Arabidopsis thaliana: one gene and its partner. The protein of the gene in region 2 interacts with the protein of the main gene of each other region in a pairwise test. Each region holds a gene or a part of one and is shown on either strand. Other genes may lie near its edges.

Region 1 (3,755 bases), on a different chromosome or scaffold from region 2:
GGATACCTACGAGGACTGAACGCAGTTTCTGGCAGACAGATTCATCCCCGGTTTTATACTCTACTCTGAATGTTTCAGAAAGATTACATCAGTCCATTTCTTTGCTTAAGGCTTGAGTAAAACTTGATTCAGGCATTGAGATTTACCTTTTTTCCTGATATGTGATAGTGCCCACGGGAGCAACTACTACAGCAGTTCCGGTGCAAAAAACTTCATCTGCATCCATTACTTCATCCACATGAACTGCCTTCTCTACTACCTGATCATAACTCAGGTGTGAAACTTAGCTGAGTTTAGTTTTTGGGTGTTTAGAGTGATTCAATCTTATCTGTGTTACCTGATAACCTTGATCACTTGCGATCTCCATCACACTTTTCCGCGTAATCCCTTCAAGAATTGTTCCATTAGTTGCAGGAGTTGAGATTGTCCGACCCTGAATCAATGATACAATTAGGATGCAACAAAGAGACATGGAGACACCACAATATATCTTACCTTGACAACAAAGACGTTGCAAGAAGAAGCCTCCTCTAAGTACTTCTTCTTGACAGAGTCGAGATAAAGAACGTCTGAAAACCCCCGACTCTTGGCTCTGCTCAGTGCTTTCAAAACCTACAAACACGTGGTTTATCAAAACTCTTTTTCTGACTCTGGTCTTTGAGAAACTAAGTTGGTTTCAACACTTACTGGCGCATAATTTGTGATGCTCTTGACGCCTCCAGCTCCACCAGGAGCCGCTCGGACATATTCTTCCTCAACATAGAGGTTAAGAGCAGCCATCCCTTCCTACAAATCAGTGAACAAAACATTTGCTAATCGTTCCATCGCCAAAAAGCATGGACATGCAAGAGTATTGTATATACCTTGAAGTAGTTACCAACTGGAGATGCATAGACAATGAATGTATATTCAGGTGCAGGACCTAAACCAAGTATTGGACCACTTCCCATCAACAAAGGCCTAATGTACAAAGTCCCTTTCCCTGCAGGAGGAACCTGAACAAACACATCATCACTTATCAGATCCCAAAAACAAACCTCTTCAGAAGAAATATACGTCACAAGAAAGCGTTTTTACCCAACGTTTGTTTGCAAGAGCGGTTTGTTTAACTGCATTAACAAACTGATCAACCGAAGGAGAAGGCATGAGCATCCGTTCAGCGCCAAGCTTCATCCGGATAGCGTTGTGATCCGGACGAAACAAAAGAAGCTTCCCATTTTCTTTCCTGTATGCTTTTGTACCTTCGTATATCGCCTGCAAAGAATCCCAAAACCTCTATTGATCATACAGTTGAGAAACAAATCAAGAAACATTTGGGGGTTACGAGATCCTTGCCTGTCCATAGTTTAAGACTCCAGCAGAAGGACTTAGCTGAATATTCCCATAGGGACTAAGTTCTCCTTGAGTGAATTCGCCGTCTTTTGAGCATTTCATGACATACATGTAATCAGCTGGATTTAGACCAAACCCGAGATTATCCCAATCCAAATCCGCATATACATCATCTCCATTTCTATATGATACAATTACAACAAATTTGAAACAGAGCTTTTTCCAATGGTAACAAAATATCTATATGACCTGGCTGGATCATGAAAAAGAGAACTTACTGATAAAGAGGTTTCTTACGCTCTTCTCGCAAAGCCGATGCAGCTTGTGCGTTGTACTTGGCGAAAGTTTGTAGCTATTTCATCAGGACAAAAAAAACAGAACATAAAACATGTTTGTATCTGAGATCCGAGTTATGTCTCTAAGTAAGTAATCATCATTAGATTGTAAGAATCCAGTTTATACCGTACGAATATGTAAATGAAGAGGTAGAACCAGAGTTTTGCGTAGAGATGTGATTGTTTTGATCATCTTCTTTTGCAGAGCCTCTGTTTTAATTCTCTTGATTTCAATAATAATAAAAAAAACAACAAAATAAAGAAATGAAGAGAGAATTTTGTTGAATGATATACCGAAAAAGAAGGTGGAAGAGAAAACACAAAGAAGAGTGTCAAATTAAGTATCCAACACGTAAGTGAATGCGGAGCTTATGTACAGTGTCTGCTTTTATCTTGGCAAATCGTTGAATTTGTTTTATTTTTTTTCTTATTTTTATCTTTTAGTGGTAAGAGTTCTTATCTTATTTTTGTGTTTCTTTTGCTTCGTCACTTGTGTCTATCTGCCCTGATCAGACAGATCTAGACGTGTCTTTCTGAAACTAGATTTTAACGAAATCAACGGACTATTGTTCTTTTCTCGTTCTCTTATGGGGTAAATAAATGAAGAAAATTAGTGGTGTATCTTCAAAATGGAGATTTCTATTTTTGAACTGTAAACTATTGTAAGTTGGTATAAATATCAATTTAGCAATGTTTCTTCGGCACGCAATTACCTAAAGTATACAAACAAATACTTGACGAAAAAACAAAATACAGACAAGTACTAATTTCAGTAATTTTCCATGAGATGTGAAATAGTAAACTAGTGATGTGAAAGCCACGTTGGACCAAGAGGTCTTTGTCGGATAAACAATTTTCTTTCCATGTCAATCTTTTAGACCATATTGTTGTCTTTTCAACGTCTTTGTCCGTAACTACCCAAATGGGAGATAAACACGTTGTGGAGATTGACAGCCACGTCAGTCTGAGAACTTTTCTTATCTGATAACAACGTTTTTGCTAAGATGGCTTACTAATGAATATTGATGTCCCTTTCCAGTATCGTCGTATCACTAGTGTCATCGACTATTAGTACACACTTGACGCGAGCACACTCCTTCGTTTTCTTATAAATATCTTTAAAAAAAAAAATTCAAATTATAAATATACCAAACCTAGTGGAACAATCAACGAACCTCATTTCTTTGAAAAATCTTAAATCGCATTTGTCGTGTCTTATCAAAGAATCTTAGACAGTCTTGTGTGTGGAATCTACAATATTTACAAAAAAAAAAAAGTTTCGACAAAATTGTTTTTTTTCTAAAAGCGAATATACCGCCGTAGAGTCTGGCAAATAGAATCTGAGGAGGCTGATCATACAGCAATGGTATTTTGAACCAATGGTGGCAAAATGCCACAAAGACAAACCATTAGATTACATATCCTGACCTTGAAGTTGAAGGTCTTTAGTTTTGCTTTTGTCTCTTTGGAAGAGTGAAACAAATGTTTAATACTAATACGATGTGGTGATATATCACAAATTTATGTCACAAATTTACCAAAAACTATTTCAAAAGCTTTTGATGGGTGATCAAGAGAGTGCAACATTATTTATAGGATATGAAAGTAACTTAGGCAATCTGCAAAACCCAATCTTTAGTGTCTTGGATAGAACCAGTTTGTATTCCGACAAGAATAGATCGAAGTTGCTGTGTAACAATCCCATCTCCAACTTTGTACTCAGTCCTGCAGATTATTTATCAACAGATAAATGTAAAATTCTAAGCATATGTATACATGTATCCAGAGAGGAAGAAGAGACCTTGTGTTCTTAAAAGTGATGCTTCCAACAGAAGCAACTCCAGCGGCAGTTCCAGTGCAGAAAACTTCTTCAGCTTCCTTCAGTTCTTCTACCGGAACACTTCGTTCTTCCACCTGAGTCCATTACACACTTATCAAAACTTCCATGCATCAAAAGTATTCCTATTTTGAAACAGAGTATTGCTCTGTTTTTTGACTCAAGATTGGAAACGGTGTTAGAAGAAAAAAGACGTGGAATAACTACTAACTTTGTAACCAAGATCAAGGGCGATTTCGATTATGCTCTTA
Region 2 (3,755 bases):
CCTAATCTTTTATGCTGAGAAATAGATGTATATTCTTAGATAGTAATATAAAATTGGGTTAAAGAATGATGATTCGATTATAGCCTCAACTAGAAGATACGTGTAGTGCAGGTGTGTAGTTAACTGGTGGTAGTGGCAGACAACCAGATTAGGAGTTAAATAAAGCCTTTAGATTTGAGAGATTGAAATATTCGATTGGAACCTTTCTAGATTTTTACAGCCATCTAAAATTAGATGCAGATCACCTACTACCATTCAAAAATGAACAAAATAATTTCATTTACATTTTCCTAGCATAAGATATAATAATAAAATAGTGCTCATTTTAATTACTTTTTCTAAATATTTTCGTTATTTTAAATTTTGCTTGTCTATACTCTACAGCTCATTTAATAACGGAAACAAAAATAATTGCAGGGATACGGATGGGTAGCTTTCAAAACTTACATCATCTTCTGTTTCTTGAGATCAACTATTTTTGGAGCTTTGTCTCAATCGTACCAAAGGATAATGGTCCTACCTCCTTTTGCATTCTTAACTTTATCTTCTCTACTTATTTCTTTTTTGGGATTTTTGGGGGTATTATTTTATCTTTTGTAGATATACACATTGATTTACTACAAACGTATACTACTATCCATCTTCAACTCTTCGGAATATGATTTCGAAAAAACTATGAAGATTAACGGGTATCTTAAACATGTTAAGATACACCGGACAATTTTCATTTAGAAGAATTGATATGCAATTAACAATAAATAGTTGATGATCTTTTAGTTTTGAAGATGTGCGTTAAGACTTAAGCGTGTGGTAACAAGGTGGGACTCGGGCAACGCAAAGCCTTGTAGAGTCCACTTGCTCAACTTGTCTTTCTTTTATCTCTTTTCCAAGTCTCAAGATTCAATGAACTCCGTGTAACACAAACACGCCCATAGATGAGCTCATTTTTGGTATTTCCAATATTGCCACTCCATGATAATATCATCTAGGGATGGGGTTCATTTATTTTGAAATCTCAACAAATCTCGTCGATTCTAACACACATGATTGATTTGTTTACTTACTTGAAAGTTGGCAACTATCTGGGATTAAAATTTATCTTTTTCTACTGCTAGCTAGAAGCATCTATATATGTTAGCCTAATACGTGGAAGATGTCATTGCTAATAATGGCTAAAGATGTGTATTAATTTTTCTTCTTTTTTCCTTGAATTTTTGTTCTTTGACATAAACTATGCTGTCAAAATGTGTAGAATCTTTTTACATAAATCATTCCCTGTTACACACTAAAAGGTTCACAACGGACGATTGTATTGGACTTCCAGATCATAAACCATGCAAAACTGAAAACCACAAGAATAATTAGTTCTAACTTTAGAACGTTCGTACGTGTTTCATGTTCAAAAAGCGTCAATTATAAAAGTTGGGAAATTACTTTTGAGTTTTGACATTTCTAAGGACAGTCAAATATGACAACATTGGGATGCAACTTACCTTGTATTAACTTATTTTGTTATAAAACCATATATTACATATTTTAAAGGGTTGATAAATAATCAAATATACCAAAACATAGCTTTTCAATATATTTGTAAAACACGTTTGGTCTACTAGCTAATTATGAGAACATTTGTTCAATGCATGATTATCTAGTATCTACTAGTGGATTATGAAAATTAGATATTTTCATTGCATGATTATCTTCCATATATAGTGATAACATCAAAAGAATCTACACCAATTATTGCATTTTTTCATTATATAATAAGCACTAAACTGTAAAATTATATTCAGCCACCCAAACCATGACAAATCACCTTAAAGGCTTAAACACATAACAGCCATTACGAGTCACAGGTAAGGGTATAATAGTAAAGAATCAATCTATATAATATACGACCCACCCTTTCTCATTCTTTCTGGAGAGTAACATCGAGACAAAGAAGAAAAACTAAAAAAGAGAACCCCAAAGAATCGAATATTTATTATTTCGCCCCGAAGATTCTATTTCTGATCATTTACACCCCTAAAAAGAGTAGAGCTTTCGTGAAGCCACCATGTGTGGAGGAGCTATAATCTCCGATTTCATACCTCCGCCGAGGTCCCTCCGCGTCACTAACGAGTTTATCTGGCCGGATCTGAAAAACAAAGTGAAAGCTTCAAAGAAGAGATCGAATAAGCGATCCGATTTCTTCGATCTTGACGATGATTTCGAAGCTGATTTCCAAGGGTTTAAGGATGACTCGGCTTTTGACTGCGAAGACGATGATGATGTCTTCGTCAATGTTAAGCCTTTCGTCTTCACCGCAACTACTAAGCCCGTAGCTTCCGCTTTCGTCTCCACTGGTATATATTTGGGTTTGATTCGAATCTCAACTTTTATTTGAATTGGAAAGCTCATGAAATTTTTAGATCTTTAGGTTTTCAGAGGCTTTTCTTAGTTTATAGCTTAGTCTTTGGAATTGGTTGATCTCACTGGTCTTGTAACCATCTGCTGTTACTATGTTGATTATATACCAGCTTACCGTCCTTAGCTCCTGAAGGGATGCAGTTTTGTTTGTTCTATTCAGCTTATGATTGATATTGTGTGTGTTTGGCTACAGTAGGTTCAGCATATGCCAAGAAAACTGTAGAGTCCGCTGAGCAAGCTGAGAAATCTTCTAAGAGGAAGAGGAAGAATCAATACCGAGGGATTAGGCAGCGTCCTTGGGGAAAATGGGCTGCGGAGATCCGTGATCCGAGAAAAGGCTCCCGAGAATGGCTTGGAACATTCGACACTGCTGAGGAAGCAGCAAGAGCTTATGATGCTGCAGCACGCAGAATCCGTGGCACGAAAGCTAAGGTGAATTTTCCCGAGGAGAAGAACCCTAGCGTCGTATCCCAGAAACGTCCTAGTGCTAAGACTAATAATCTTCAGAAATCAGTGGCTAAACCAAACAAAAGCGTAACTTTGGTTCAGCAGCCAACACATCTGAGTCAGCAGTACTGCAACAACTCCTTTGACAACTCTTTTGGTGATATGAGTTTCATGGAAGAGAAGCCTCAGATGTACAACAATCAGTTTGGGTTAACAAACTCGTTCGATGCTGGAGGTAACAATGGATACCAGTATTTCAGTTCCGATCAGGGCAGTAACTCCTTCGACTGTTCTGAGTTCGGGTGGAGTGATCACGGCCCTAAAACACCCGAGATCTCTTCAATGCTTGTCAATAACAACGAAGCATCATTTGTTGAAGAAACCAATGCAGCCAAGAAGCTCAAACCAAACTCTGATGAGTCAGACGATCTGATGGCATACCTTGACAACGCCTTGTGGGACACCCCACTAGAAGTGGAAGCCATGCTTGGCGCAGATGCTGGTGCTGTGACTCAGGAAGAGGAAAACCCAGTGGAGCTATGGAGCTTAGATGAGATCAATTTCATGCTGGAAGGAGACTTTTGAAGTGATCGATGGTTCCTTAGTTTGTAAATAAAGCTGTGTTGGTGAGTTACAGTTACAAGCTCTTCTTGTTGAATCGTAAAGACAAACAACCTAAGTGTTGGTTTCAGGATTAATCTTCTGTCGTTCTTTTTTGGTTGTTTCAGGATTTTGCTGTTGGGGGATGGTACAAGTCACACCTCAAGCTCTATGCATTGGTATCTCATGAGCCTCTCTTCCATAGAGAGTTTCTCTTTTAATTTTGTCGAAATAAAAAAGGTGTGATGAAGTAAATAGAGGTATAATAATATCTATCTATTAAGTCTTGTTTTGTTCTT

What was found. Proteins that work in one complex are often made in the same cells at the same time.
Region 1: the proteins of RAP2.2 (region 2) and BCAT-2 interact in a two-hybrid assay, tested with the Arabidopsis thaliana proteins (one large-scale study listed by BioGRID).

What each region holds. Positions count from the first base shown.
Region 1 is NC_003070.9:3,286,360-3,290,114, reverse strand, and holds the start of BCAT-2 (branched-chain amino acid transaminase 2), read right to left. Parts: upstream 2,029-3,755; 5' UTR 1,861-2,028; coding exon 1,795-1,860; exon of another isoform or gene 1,685-1,794; coding exon 1,611-1,684; intron 1,514-1,610; coding exon 1,336-1,513; intron 1,255-1,335; coding exon 1,078-1,254; intron 996-1,077; coding exon 864-995; intron 787-863; coding exon 688-786; intron 613-687; coding exon 496-612; intron 434-495; coding exon 338-433; intron 260-337; coding exon 147-259; intron 66-146; coding exon 1-65. Other genes in the region: BCAT-1 (branched-chain amino acid transaminase 1), read right to left, coding at 3,278-3,392, 3,469-3,581, 3,716-3,755. UniProt on the Arabidopsis thaliana protein: Converts 2-oxo acids to branched-chain amino acids. Shows activity with L-Leu, L-Ile and L-Val as amino donors and 2-oxoglutarate as an amino acceptor, but no activity for D-isomers of Leu, Ile, Val, Asp, Glu or Ala.
Region 2 is NC_003074.8:4,737,302-4,741,056, reverse strand, and holds the start of RAP2.2 (uncharacterized protein), read left to right. Parts: upstream 1-1,920; 5' UTR 1,921-2,056; coding exon 2,057-2,357; intron 2,358-2,602; coding exon 2,603-3,441; 3' UTR 3,442-3,482; intron 3,483-3,584; 3' UTR 3,585-3,755.